4 linked regions of the Bombyx mori genome follow. The protein of the gene in region 2 interacts with the protein of the main gene of each other region in a pairwise test. Links are inferred from orthologs where the notes say so. Each region holds a gene or a part of one and is shown on either strand. Other genes may lie near its edges.

Region 1 (4,204 bases), on a different chromosome or scaffold from region 2:
TAAAGTGAGTTTTTTAAATATGTAGTCAGCTATCTGACTCTACATTTTCATTGCTAAATATAAATAAGTTTCATTTTAACAATCAATTTTGTTTTGTTTCAAAGTGCATTTATGTTTTACGCATCAATATTATACTTAATATTTATATGTTTTTACTTTTTAATTCATCATTTCATCTTTCATATTACACATTATTAAAGTCCATTTGTAAACCATTTGTTCATAAAGTTAACTTCATTTTAATTTAGGACATTTCAGTAATAATTATAAAATCGATTAAAAATATCACTAGTAGCCAAATACTGGAACCTTATCAATATAATTTGAAACATAACAATTCCCAATATTATGGTATTTAAAATTACTTGGTAAAAATACAGTATTTGGCAGTACTTTTCTTAAAATCTAATTAAGTCTCATCCTCACAACACTCTTCTATTTCATCATAGTTCTTTTCACAATAAATAAGTTCTGACGTACATTTGTACGGATGGATTGATTGTTAACATCGATCATTCTTGACTGACGGATTGAGATCGTGGAAATACGCATGCGCCATTGCATCATCAGCTGGCATTCTTAAAGCTGGATTGCAGGTGAGCAGCCGAGCGAGTAGATCTCGACCTCTAGCCGGCAATCTTGGTACAACTTGGGCGAGGCCTAAACTTGGCTGATAAACAGGCAAAGGTTTGTAGTCCGGCAGTTGAGTTACTCCAGGCCATGTGTCCTCATTGGGTGTACCTGATAAGTAAACATAGTTTGATTGAAAAAGGATAACTGACAGATTAATACACCCATACAATACCAGTGACACACTTCCTATTTGTATGTCAATGAATAAGTCTTTGCAAATGGCACAATATTTACAATGCAAGAGCTTTGATGTAATTTTCCTAGACAAATCTATATATTTTTACTAAAAATATGTAAAAGTTAACTATTATTTTGTAACACTTCAGTACACTCTGTAGGCATTTTTATAAATACTATGTTTACCGTAAGTTTCTGAAATGCAGAAGAAGAAATCTTATGATGGCAGAAAATTATATTCATTTGCTAATTAAAGTATTTATGATATATATATAGAAGGGGTCTGCAATATGACTCAGCAAAAAAATTAAATAACAACACAAAATTTGAAACATGAGTCGACTATTATCAAAGGCGGCAATCTGACTTTTTGACAATGATTGGTAAATCAGAAAAACGAATTATTGACTTTGTATTCCATTGGCAGTCACAAAACTCTTCGGAACGACATCTTAGATAAATAACAGGTTAACTATTAACCTTTATTTAATGCAGGTTTTGAACCGTATTCTTTGAAGGAGACGATTATATTCAAATAAATCTGTATTGACATATCAATAAAAAAAATTTGTCCAAATGTACAGATTGCCACCTTTGATAATAGACGACTCACATGTTCAAACTTTAATGGTATAATATGTATTTTTTAGTTTAATATGGTACATGATGTCATGATTGACTATTTTAGTAAAAAAAATGATTTATTATTTAAATGCCGAAGTGTTCATCAATTACAATAAGTTATAGGAAAGGAAACACTATTCCTACTTAATGACATTGTTCGACCGTGAGTGTTGGGATTAACATTCTTATATTATTTTGTACTTGGAGGACTAGGCTAACAACTTTTGTCAGGCCGGTAATCTTTATGCCAACCCATAGATTGTTTCTAACTTTTTTATGCAGAATCTGCAATCTAATAGGGGGTTGACTAGAAAATAGTATGTGTGGAATTATCAGACAGCTGTTTACTAAGCCCCCAACAGAATAAAGTAGCAATGGTGATATGGTATATTGTAAGCCTACTCTCTAGTTTGTTGGGAGAGTTAAAATTCAATAAATTTATTTTACATATTGTTATAATCTGTCCGATCCTTTAAATAAGGCATCAATCAGACATAATCATAGTTCTTACTTTTGCATAATTATATGCAGTTAATGTTGGTATTAAGCTCAGAGACTCGGCCATTCAAATTTAATTTAAGATCTAAACCAGTTTTGTGATATGACTTTTTATTGTCACCAAGAGCCCTTATGTGGTTTTCAATATAAAATCATAATTAGGCTTCCTAAATTCAGAATAGAGTAATAAAACTTTGGAGATTTATTATGATGAACTCACCTAAAAGCTTAAAAATCCTCTTTAATTGATCATCAACATCTGAACCTGGGAATAGCGGTCTGCCCGAATTTGCAAGTTCTGCAAATATACATCCAGCAGACCACATATCAATGCTTGTTGTGTACAACTTAGCACCAAATAATACATCAGGAGGCCGGTACCATAAGGTTACAACTTCAGCGGAATAGCACTTTACTGGTATGCCAAAAGCTCTGGCCAGACCAAAATCAGCTAACTTTAATTCACCGTTCTTGTTTATTAAGAGATTCTGTGGCTTCAAGTCCCTATGGAGAACGTTGTGGCTGTGACAAAAAGCTAGTCCTCGAAGTAATTGATACATGAATGATTTCACAACATCTAGATCTATTTCTCCATTCAAACTATCGAAGTATTTTTTTAAGTCTTGATCACAATGTTCAAACACTAGGGTTAATTTCTTTTCGCTGTGCAATACATCGTAAAGTCGCACTATATTTTTATGCTTTAATTCTTTGAGAAGACATATTTCACGAAGAGCGGAAGATGGTACTCCTTCATCGTCGTCGTCTAATCTAACACGTTTGAGCGCTACGATTTCGTGTGTTTCTTTATTCTTGGCTTTAAATACCGTACCATAGGTTCCTTCACCGATTTTTTCAAGTTTCTCATATTTTTGCATATTTTTGAACTACAGATTTACTCACTTTAGTTCGATCGATTGTTTTTAATTTAGACTGACTTATATTAAGTGTATAATCTATGGACTGACTGATTTTTGAGTAGTTGTTCTATTTTTCCAACCGGACAGGCACAGGTATCTTACTATACAGCCTACGCTTTTGATATATATTTTTTGAATAATGATAATATGAAGTGAAATTAAATGAATTTGATTAATTTGGAACGTTAATCACTTGACATGAAATGAAATTAAATGAGATGAGATAGTATGGGGTGAAATATAATCTCAGTAAAAAGTTGATTGTTTACTGAGACTTTTTTGTGGACTTTTTGGAAGATCCCGAGAAGCTACGTCCAGCGACTTTGTTTTATTTTCCCATATTTGTGTACTTTTACAGATACTAAACAGTTAATAAGCCACGATTAATCACACACTACCACATTTAAACCTGAAGAAACACTAAATATACAGAATAAAACAATTCACACAACTTCACTCCTCGCATTCCTGCTAAAAAGTCCTCTGTCTTATTAGTACATACTACATGTTGGAGTTTGAATATGAAAGTAATGGCCGGCAACAGTTGACACATGTAAGGTTACAGTTTCGAATATTGGAATTATTTTAAAAGTCTAAAATAAATAATTGTGTTCTCGTCAGTGAAGACAACGACTTCTCATCTAGACACGGTCAGAGCAACATCTAAGAGTTTTATAAAAAATAAAACATTGTAATAATGTTATAGTGTACAAAGTGTTTGCAATATAATTATATTAACCATGAAGCAGAGTGTTTTTAAATAGCCCCTCATCAACCTACAGAACCCAATCCCCTCAAATTTCACCGTCCAACACTACATACAACTATCTTATAAATCTACATATTATTATGCATGTGAAGGGCCGTCAAACATTCATTCGCAAACTTAGCAGCTGTGCAAATGGGTTCGGTAGTCAATTCGCGAACCCGTTTGCGCTTCCTCCTACACTTGTTTACGAATGTCTCACGAATTTCTCCTCCTTTTTAATTCGTCAATAGACATTGAAGAGAAAAAGAGTTTTGAATTCTTTCCCAGACATCATTAACAGCCATGCTGTTTTTATGGGATTTCTTTTGATGAAGATACGTTACACAGTAGACGTCACGAACTATGAAAATGACGATACGTCCGTTACCTTCGTAATCGTCGGCGCAACTGGGCAAACGAATGTGTGGGAGACTACGCGAAGGCTCGCGGTTCGCGCGCTTTGATGTCTGTTAAAAAACCGACACAGCTTGGAAAACCACGAATGTAGCGAAAACTTTGCATAATCATTTGCAAATGTCGTCCTACACTTGCGGGTTTGCGTATTCGTGCGCATGTGAGTGACCGGTGTTATAAACGTGCAAGG
Region 2 (4,353 bases):
TGATTTCACATAATGAAAATGTAAGAAACATAATCATGTTTGGGCATTTTCATTTATATCTGCTCATACAGAAAACACAACTTAGCAAATATATTCCACAGTTAATCTAAATAATTGCAAATAATGCTTTTGAAGATCGTTGACTTTTGATCATTAATTAAAATCATCTTCTCGTAGAATTTACAAAAGCTCATTTACAAAAATTTATATCAGTATTTTCATATATTACTAACTTACTAATTACAACTATTCAAAACGTAATAGTATAACTATAAGAACTAAACAACCTATTTTAAAACAAAATTGGCATCAATTTAGTTCTTATGAACTATTTCAATTATTAATTTATAAATTATAAACATATTTAAAAAAAATTAAGATCCCTTGTGAGTTCACATTCCTTGCTGAATCAGTTTCTCTTCTGAAACGGAGAAACAAAGTATCTTAAGTATGTAACAAATATTGAAAAAATACGACCATGAAAAATTTAGTGTTAATGTAATCATACTTACAAATTAATATATTACATAACACGTTCTGGTTCAAATATAGTGCATCAATCTTTTCATGTTTCAGACATTTTAGTGCTCCTTATAATTTTTCCATAAAATTTTGTCATTATCAAACCTTTGTCTACAAAAATAAAAACATTATTTTATATTGGGTAGAAGGATGAACGTGGTCACAGGCCACTTGGTGTAACTTGGTTATCAAACACCAGGAAACAAAATGTGAATGCCATCATTTAACTTTGGATGTGAGATCAATTGTGCTGTATTTTATTTAAACAGGAAAGCATGACTATCAATCAGTCATGCTTTCCTGTTTATTCCATTCCAAAAAACTAGTTCGGGCCCACTTGACAATAAGCATATAATACGCTGAGTTGCAAAACATAAATACTTCCACCCACTCGAGACAATTTTATTATCTGAGGTGTGTGTGTGATAGTACGAGACTTAACACCGACTGTTTTGATCAAACTTAACATATATGATAGCTAGGCAGCAGAAATAGGAAGGACCATTAGTTGGTGCTAATTCATTTAATTATATTATGAATAATAATTCTGTTAGCAAATAATATACCGGGAAAATAGTGTAAACTCACCGTTATCAAGGCATCCGAAATAGCATTTCATTTTCGATCTTCGAGGCATGCTGATTTTTAATAATAAACTTTCTGTAAGAAACGAAAATAGTTACACAGGCTTACGAAACGCTAACGAAGAAAAAAGTATTGGAACCAAGTTATGTCTAAAGAGAATTCAAAACAGAGTTTCTCAATGTCTAATCGTCTAATATTCTCATAAAGCTAAAAGATGCTCTAAATTAATACTACAACGTAAAATAACTCACACCAAGACAAAAAAAAAACGATTTAAAAAATTAAATCGTTACGACATTTTGAAAACGTTTTTTTTTTTTTTTGAGATTGTTTTACGGCCCTGGAATTTTGAAAACTTCAAAGCAGTGTTTCCACTTACGTTTTTTTAAACACATTTTACCCTAGTTTCTTTTGAATTTATCCCTAAAATTTCCTAGACAACTTTCATAAATCCTTTATATAGAAAGTATAAATAAAATACAGAAAATAAACCACAGCATATTATTTAATGTAGGTATATATAATATAAACGCCCCCAGAAGATCATAGATATATAGGATTAGAATTTTCAAGGAAGTCGACGCATTGCTTTTATATTCTTTTGCTGCACGCAACCTAACACTGTTCGGTTCTAAAATTGAGCAATTGTTTGCTGGCAAAGTTGGGAACTTTCTATGAAGCAAGCCGTTCAGGGTTTCATTAGAAAGCCTGTTTCTTTTGTCAGTTTTTACATTTGAGAACACTGAATTATCTTTCCACCTCAGTCTTTGAAGAAGGAACTGCTAGCAAAAGTGAAATGACAATTACAAGGTTTTCGTAAATGAAATTACCATGATAATCTTTCATGGTACATGAAGTACCTGTATATTACAATACAAGTAAGTTCTGGTGACATCAACGAAAATAGGTAAATAAAAGTTTGGCGGATTATACTTATTGGGATTCTGGGGAATCCCTAAGAAAAAAGCAGTGGCTTAATCTATAATTTACTTTACTAGAGGGTTACTGTTGAATCAAACCTTCTTTATAGTTTTTATACACAACTCTGTTTTATTCTTTTACTTGTCAACTCGACTTAATGTCATTCTCTCTCCATAAAATAAAATGTTCATTGTTTTACTTTAATTATCGTTTATTTTAAAATTCACAACAGTTACTAGTATAGGCTTTGCTTTTTACCCCGAACTATCCTAAATCCTGGTATTTTTTAAATTGTCTTTATCATCCAAAATATCAGCTATTTTTCCCTAAAAAAGGGAGAATTCCCTAAAAGTGGAAGCACTGCTTCAAAGTACGCTAACCTTTTTTATTGAGTCAGAACTCGTACCTGCCATCTAGTGAGTTTATTAGATCATTAAGGCCAAAACGTTTCAAAAATGACCTCGCCGGTTCCTAAAGATGACGCTAGTTGAATGTTCTTTTCCTTTGTATGGGAGTTGCACCCCCCTGGTTATGCATACATATTACTAAAATACACAGTTTCAAAAGTTTCATAGAATAGGAATGGATGGAAAAATGTTAAATTTGTAAAAAAAGTATGTTTTTTTGATAAATCAAAATTTACCAAATTTTAATAATTATTGTGTTTTGCCTTTGAAGAAATGGCTGGAAATTTTTGGCAAAGCTCACATCATCAACAATGGATACTCGATAAGCAAGAGCTAAGGCGCGATCGCCAGTTTGATTTGAATATTTTATCAGAAGAAGAATACCAAAAAGTATTTAATTTTTTTGCTAGTATAATTCAAGTTTTAGGCGAACAACTTAAACTTCGTCAGCAAGTAATCGCAACTGCAACAGTTTACTTTAAAAGATTTTATGCAAGGAACTCTTTGAAGTGTATTGATCCACTTCTTTTGGCACCAACATGCGTATTTCTTGCATCTAAAGTTGAAGAATTTGGTGTTATATCCAATTCCAGATTAATAACAACCTGCCAGACAGTTATAAAAAATAAGTTTAGTTATGCTTATGGACAACAAGAGTTCCCGTACAGGACAAATCACATTCTGGAGTGTGAATTTTATTTACTAGAAAATTTAGATTGTTGTTTAATTGTATACCAACCATATAGACCATTACTACTTTTTGTCCAAGACATAGGACAAGATGATCAACTTCTGACATACGCTTGGAGAATAGTAAACGATTCCTTGAGAACAGATGTTAGTTTGTTGTACCCACCCTATCAGGTATGATTTATGTAATGCAAATAGTCACATTTCATTTTTTATTCATAAAACTTTTCATTGCCATTATATTTTGAATTACAGATTGCAATTGGTGCCTTACAAATAGCATGTGTGATGCTTGGTAAAGACAATCTCAAACCTTGGTTTGCTGAGCTAAATGTTGACATGGATAAAGTGAGAAATATACTTGAATATATATTAAAATTAAAAAAAATATGGTTATTGTGTGGTTGTATTACAAAACTTCTGAAACTACTCATTTAAAAATTCAAATTTACAGATCCAAGAAATTGTGAGAGCTATCATTAACCTTTATGAGATGTGGAAAAGTTATGATGAAAAAAAAGAAATACAAGGGCTATTGTCCAAGATGCCCAAACCAAAGCCAGCTCCCCAGAGATAGCAAGACATATTTTGTAGTATGGATTTGTATAATGGATATATAATTTTTAATTGTAGACATGAAAAATTTGTTTTTAATTCCCTAGGAAAAGAAATTACTATTTTTGATGAGGTCACTTATATTTCAAGTGATTTTTATGAATTTTTTCAACCATAAACAAATACAGTGTAGAGCACACTTTAGAGCATAAATTAAAAGAACAAGAACTAAGTTATTTAATTTTCCATCACAAGCCAAAGATACTCTCTTTATTGGTTGTTATGTGATTTAAGACTATTGTATCCTATTGTAGCCTTTAGACACAAAAGTAAATTATTCCTTTATTTCAAGTTTAATGTTTAAATAATGTCATTGTATTGCTATGCTGCCCAATAACATTGTTCATATAAGTAAACTGACAAAGATAAGTAAGATGACAAAAGCTAAAGAAAAAAGGCAATTCTAATGAATTTAGTCTTATCTGTCTGCATGTTTTTGAGCATTGATACTTCATTCATTAACTGTGTTGCATTTGTTCACATTTTACAACATTTGTCAACATTAACAATTTTGAACATTGAAAATGAGGTGGATCCTTTAAATAGATATATATGTATAAATTACTATTGGTTACACATTTCAGGTTAAAACTTATTAGCAATTCAGGGAATA
Region 3 (2,800 bases), on a different chromosome or scaffold from region 2:
TATGGGATTTGTGACTCCCAATTTTTTTTGAGTTAATTTTTCTGACTCATTTTCCAATTTCGTTTATGATCAATGTATATGGTATCTGCTGGAGTACACTTTTTCTTATTAGTAACTATTTAAATCACAAGATCTCTTAATTTATTAACAGAATGCTAAGAACGCCAACAGAAGAGATATGGCCTGGTGTTTCTCTCCTACCAGACTACAAGCCAACCTTCCCGAACTGGAACACGTACAATCTGCACAATCATGTACGTATGAAGCATATTTTATTTTAGATTTTTATATGTCTATTGTTCTTGAGATATTTCCAGATATATGAAAAACTAATTGAATTCTATTACATAATGAGTGACACTACTCCAGCTAGCCAAGATATTCCCTTGGGATTTTAGTGAAAGTTTATTTTAGCAGAACCAGCTGTTAAAAGTTTTGTGTGTGTGTGTGTGTGTGTGTTGTATAATGTTTTTTTAATATATTTATTCTGGACTTTGATGTCCTGTTTCTGTCGTGAAGCACTTATGCGTTCCAGTTTGTAAGATGGGACAGCTCTTATGTGATTTATATTGAAACTTCGACCTCATATCAAAACTATCTTTCTTCACTTTCTTTATCGCTCAGACTTGTGATTGAGCATGTGGCCCACCTATAATAACGGTAACGGAATCTAATAAACAGCATTTATTCATGTCATTAACGACACAAATGCCGCCACCCATCTTGGAACATAAGTTCTGAGTCCCAGTTTTACAGTACAATAGTTGTCTCGTCATTCAAACCAGAATACGTTACTGCTCGTGCGGACTTACAAGACTCCCCAACACCATTTAAGCTATATTATATTATACTAGTTATTATCAATGACGTGACTGAGTTAAATCTTTTCTTCCTACCGTCAATTGTAACGTGCATTTTTTACAGGTACAAAACCTAGACGAAGTGGGCATGGATTTGTTACAAAAGATGTTAGTCTACGATCCGGTTAAAAGAATATCCGCGAAGGACGCGCGACGACACAAGTACTTTAGAGACGTGAAACTACCTCCCGGACTGACAGTGCACGACGCTTACATCAGAGTGACGCCAGAATACCCATACGACACGGATTCTGTTCAAAGTGTATAGGAGACACGAATCATTAGAACTAGGTGTCATTTATAAAGACTACAAATATATTTTCAGAACGAATACAAAGTACAACTCAGTTGGGCTCCTCTGTCGCAATCATTGCATTTTAATTTGAGAGATTTGAGGTATGTTCTCTATACTGTATTCTCCACAATTCGCATCCAATCTCCTTATAGTAGAACCTTAATATTTAAATGTACTTTATTTTATCGAATTTGATCTAAAAATTAAATTAGTCAATTCAGATTATTGAAAAACTAAGACTAGTAAACGCGAGACGTAATTTAGTTAAAGCTTTGAACTTAAATAATTTACGTAAAGGCTTTTTAATGAATTTGTGTGTCTGTGAAGTTGGGATTTTAAACCGTCGAGAATAAATGAATAGATGTGAGTTATTTTAAAGCTATTTCGGCGAAGAGCTTAATTTTTAAATCAAGTCACTAGGTTTTAAATAGTGACCATAGAAAATTATTGTTTGATTATTATAGAAAAACGTGTCATAGTTTGTTCGAAGTTGTACAAACCTTCATAGTTTTAACTTTGAATGTTGGTTTCGTTCATTACCTTAACACTAATTTGAGAATTATTGATAGTTAATTAACCTTGAATAAATTAATTCTCGTTGTCTAATCGTGTCGTGTATACATCTTTGTGTCGTTTTGTCATGTTCGACTTATGTTATAGGATAGTATTTAATTATTTCTTCTGTAATAATATTACTGCCAAATAGTTGTCTTCATTGAACTGTTTAATAAGTTTTTACGAACGCTGAAATGCTTAATAACCTCAGACACCAAAGGCTAAAGCAGTAAACTTAGTGCATAAAAAACTAACCACAATAGTTTAATTATCATTACAAACTAACTTTGGATTTGGATAAGGGTTCCTTTCGACTAAAATACCTGTTTAATAATATATAAAACTTGCAGTATTATCATTCACGCCTTCAAAGAAATATTCTGGAGCTTGTGATGATCATAATAGTTTGTTAAATATAGTTTGATATGCGGCAAATGTGATTTATAGGATTATAAGTCCCATTCGAATAAAATCATTTTTGAAAATTATTATTTTTCAAACTATTCGCTGTGCAAACTCCCGGCGTATCAAACTGTTTTCAACAAACTATAGGACTCTGAACGGTTTTTACATACATTTATTAGTAATGCATTTGGAGATAAGTTTAACTATATTGTTCTGTATGCTGTTGAAACATCGTGTGACATGAGAAGTATTTTATATGTATTTTCATGGAAACTTAATTAATTTAAACTTAATTATCTGTCCAATTCATGTTCTTCATACACTATTATGTCATCTAAATAAATAAATACATAAGATCAATAGGTTGTACTGCAAATATTTCTTTAGTATAACAGAATTATAAATTGAAATTGTTTTAAATCTCTTCAATTAATATCTAATACCAACAACGTGTTTCTTTTTCTTCTAAAATAATTGTAAACAGTTTGTTTTTAATAGTAAAGCATAATTATTTATTTAATTGATATATATATATTACATGTTTGACGTGTGGGTGTTTTAATAAATAATATGAAAAAAGACGTTTTGATAAACTTTTGACAAGAAACAAATGTAATATTATTTTCTTAAGTTTTTGCCAATTTCTCTGGACCGCTCATAAGTTAATTTTATTTTTAATTATATG
Region 4 (3,751 bases), on a different chromosome or scaffold from region 2:
TTCATTAGAGGTTAGAAGGTGCCGTATATTATTGTGGAACAATGTGAATTTGGATTGTTGCCAGATAATTCGAAAAGTTCCTTAATTCGGTCATGTAGCCTGTCGTCTAACGCTATAGCACAGATTTAATTACCCTTAATTATTCAAAAGCTCAATAATCTCATCGCTATACTGGTAGGCATTTTGAAAAGTAGCAATTAATATGAATTTAACCTACACTTATTGATCAATTGATGATATAAAAAAAACAAGTTGGATATTCAGTCGGGTTCTCTAATCCAATACACAACTATAAGACTTATTGAAATAGAAGTGGCGACTGACTTGTATTTGAAATCGGTAAAACTAGAGCATAGTTTTCCATTTCGTAGTGCCCATTATATACCCGCACGTTTATACGAAAAACGATAATCCTTCTAGCAAGTGGAAAGAGACGTATACTCCTCAGTTTCAGGAGAGCATTTTGCGGTATGTAGCGACATGGATCGCCCCCTGGAATGTTGGTGTCCTTTGATGGCAATTAAACATTTTTCATTAAATTTTTATGAGTTTTTTTTTTGAGAGAAAAAGAGTTTGGGACAGATACAATATGTGTGAATGTGTAACATTCATTAATCGAACCGACTATAGAACAATTACGTTTTTACGGCAATTACAGCACCCGTCAGGACGAAAGACGACTTGTCAGTATTAATCATACATACATTCTCGTAATGCAAAGGCGCGGTCATAATAACAAGGAAATTTACTACACAGTAAAACATTTATGTCCCGCGTTTCGTGAAAAATGACAGAAAATTTAATACACCAATATGTAATGCATCCAGCGGCTATGAAACGGCTGTAATCATAAAACGCGATCATTTTGTGTACACGACACTGCTCCCCTAAGTATTCATGATATAAAGGTAAAATGGTTACTTGACGTGGCTTATATATTCTTAATACATTATAACTGTTACCTTGTATGACATTTGGAATACTCGGGACTGAAATTATCTACATATATTATCCATATATTAATACGGGAAGCAAAAACTTTGTATCCCTTTTTACGAAAATTGCGCGGACGGAGGAGTATGAAATTTTCCACACTTATGGAGAATATAGAGAAGAAGTGCACAATGCTAATATTTTTTTTAAATAATGACTAAAAGATACATTAAATCAATAAAGAAAACATTACACACACTACATACCATGTATTTGACGCACACACGCATGCATACTATTTATTGTCAAACTTTTGTTCTTGACGTCTGTTGTCAAATTGAGAATAGAATATGGTTTGTCTCTGTTAATATTTTTTATAGTGTAGTCTTGGCGAAATTTGTGATTATAGAAGTATAAAATACAATCATAATAGTGTACAAACTTACAATTCCAATTAATTATAGTCGAATTTCGACTACTGCGGGACTTCTAGTAAGGATTAGTACGTATACTGTACAGTCCTTTTAACAAAAAGTAAGGTTGCCGACTAACCACATATGTCATGCGCAATTGTTGAAATTTCGGTACAGGTTATATTGTATACGTTTGAACAGGAAACAAACAAACGATCCAAACTTTTAATGAAACATTCATGTTTAACCCAATTCGCATTTTGTAACTGAATGATTGTGTCGCATTCAATATTTGTACGGAATTATTAAAAAAAAAAGCGAGGATGGGAATTTAAGCAATAAAATTAGTGTGGCGCCCCGTGGTCTTTTAGAGTCCCTTTACGAGGGAAGTAGCAACACACCCGTAACCACCCTCTGACCTACTTATTCTTAGTAAGGCATCTGTATACACAGATAGACCGTACCGACCGATCATACTTAATGATCTTTTTTTTTATTGCTTAGATAGGTGGACGAGCTCACAGCCCACCTGGTGTTAAGTGGTTACTGGAGCCCATAGAGATCTACGACGTGCATTTACCATGCCACCCTTGAGATATAAGTTCTAAGGTCTCAAGTATAGTTACAACGGCTACAAATGCATTACTGCTTCACGGCAGAAATAGGCAGGGTGGTGGTACCTACCCGCGCGGACTCACAAGAGGTCCTACCACCAGTAAAAACTAAATAATCATTTACAATTTGACAAGAGAATATGACATCCGAATCAAATGCAAACAAGTTTTAAGTAAACGGCAGTCATCGATTAACATTCACCGTTAATTCTTCCATTTCCTCGTTAATCTAAAAGATAAATTGTGTTCGTGATCGATTTGTTCCGTCATCTACGGATTTGTTGTTCGGGAATGATTTATTCGTTTCGCGTTCGCATTGACGTACCTACCCGTCGCGATATCGAACCTTTGTAACGCTAACACGCTTCCTCGAGTGCTCCTCGAATATTGGAATACCGATGCCGCTCAAAACGATTTCTTCAAACGGCGTCGTTCCAAAGTAACATTTTTATTATTTCGTTCATTAATTTGCTCACTAAGTGCTTGCTGGAGACATTCCACGAGGATCCTCATTCTGTCAATCGCGAAGCTCTCAGTGGTTGTTTGCATTGCAAAGCAACAACGTTCGTATCGCGAATGCTATAAGTAGGTAGAAGCCATGTAAATTTGCTACGTTTAAATTCGAGCATGAAATGTAAAAGGGGAGCCGAGGAAATTGTCAAAAAACATTAAATTGCCTCTCAAACAAAATTTATAAAGGAAACATTAGAAAATATTATATTGCTCAAGTTATTTACGCAAACGAATATTATTTAATGTTTTCGAGGGTGGGTGGCTTCTCTGTGAGCGTTCTTCAAGTGAGTTTACGCTTGAGGGGGATTTGTTATGCAAAAAAGAACCACATGAGTTTGCTTGTTAGTTGATTGACGTTTTAGGTTTTGAATTTATTTTAAAAAGAAATAAGACTTATGTAATGGGTCAAATGTTATGCCGTTTTGACACGTTTATATTTTGTTGTAGAGTGGAGCGAAGGTGGCAACGGTGAATACCGTGTCCGAAGACAGTTGTCGGTCTCTTCAGATTCGAAGCTCCTGGACGAAGGTGCGAGGGAGGAGGCGCGAGTTGTCATGAGGCCGAAGCGACCTCCCAGACCCAAGAGTGAAGCGTTCCTCGGGCCTCACGAGCAGTCCAGTAGACGCACCAAGCGATTTAGTGCCTTTGGGGTTAGTAGCATTCCTACATCCATCACGATTTCAACATATTTATTTATTAATTGCGCAGACGGATGAACGAGCCCACGACCCACGTATCAAGTCGGAGTCCATACACATAATAACCTGAATGCCACCACAGACCTTGAGACTTGAGGTCTATTATCTCAATTGTATAGTAATTACGCAAATTACAATATAGCAAAGCACGTACCTCTGCTGCATCCCAATCATTCAATCTTAATAGACACTTATATTACGTAATTCATTAATTCAGTAATCCCTATTTGAATTCCTCTTCCAATTATCTTAAACTTTTGATTCAAACATGTAATTTGAAAATAAATTATTACAAAAGGAGTATAAAAAAGTAGAACACTTGACAAAGTCTTCGAGGAGTGTTTAAAACTCCGTTGTGAATTGTTTCTTTGTGATTTATTCAAAAATTCATATTGAACAAACACAATTGGAGATTTTTTCTTTTTTCTTTATTAATCAACTAAATGGTCCCGATATTGGCATACCTGAAAATATAATACAAAATGCCAATATTATTTGTTCATAGAAACAAAATTGGAAATTGAAAACAAAAACAAAATTAGAAAAAAAAAAAGGAAAAACAGAAAAGAAAAATAATAAT

The links.
Region 1: the proteins of cyclin-C (region 2) and cyclin dependent kinase 5 interact in binary tests that used the Drosophila melanogaster proteins (3 or more experiments, as listed by UniProt). The link is inferred for Bombyx mori from reciprocal best matches to the Drosophila melanogaster genes CycC and Cdk5.
Region 3: the proteins of cyclin-C (region 2) and Cdc2 interact in binary tests that used the Drosophila melanogaster proteins (3 or more experiments, as listed by UniProt). The link is inferred for Bombyx mori from reciprocal best matches to the Drosophila melanogaster genes CycC and Cdk1.
Region 4: the proteins of cyclin-C (region 2) and cyclin-dependent kinase 14 interact in a two-hybrid assay, tested with the Drosophila melanogaster proteins (2 studies listed by BioGRID). The link is inferred for Bombyx mori from reciprocal best matches to the Drosophila melanogaster genes CycC and Eip63E.

The regions. Positions count from the first base shown.
Region 1 is NC_085125.1:9,569,073-9,573,276, forward strand, and holds cyclin dependent kinase 5, read right to left. Parts: upstream 2,821-4,204; 5' UTR 2,811-2,820; coding exon 2,153-2,810; intron 742-2,152; coding exon 503-741; 3' UTR 459-502; downstream 1-458. UniProt on the Drosophila melanogaster protein: Probably involved in the control of the cell cycle. Interacts with D1 and D3-type G1 cyclins. Possible regulator of neuronal differentiation and/or development.
Region 2 is NC_085121.1:11,205,294-11,209,646, forward strand, and holds the start of cyclin-C, read left to right. Parts: upstream 1-1,420; 5' UTR 1,421-2,708; coding exon 2,709-3,299; intron 3,300-3,380; coding exon 3,381-3,473; intron 3,474-3,579; coding exon 3,580-3,702; 3' UTR 3,703-4,353. UniProt on the Drosophila melanogaster protein: Component of the Mediator complex, a coactivator involved in regulated gene transcription of nearly all RNA polymerase II-dependent genes.
Region 3 is NC_085122.1:10,044,321-10,047,120, reverse strand, and holds the end of Cdc2 (cell division cycle 2), read left to right. Parts: intron 1-151; coding exon 152-254; intron 255-924; coding exon 925-1,128; 3' UTR 1,129-2,132; downstream 2,133-2,800. UniProt on the Drosophila melanogaster protein: Plays a key role in the control of the eukaryotic cell cycle. Required for entry into S-phase and mitosis.
Region 4 is NC_085117.1:9,232,829-9,236,579, reverse strand, and holds part of cyclin-dependent kinase 14, read left to right. Parts: intron 1-2,920; coding exon 2,921-3,123; intron 3,124-3,751.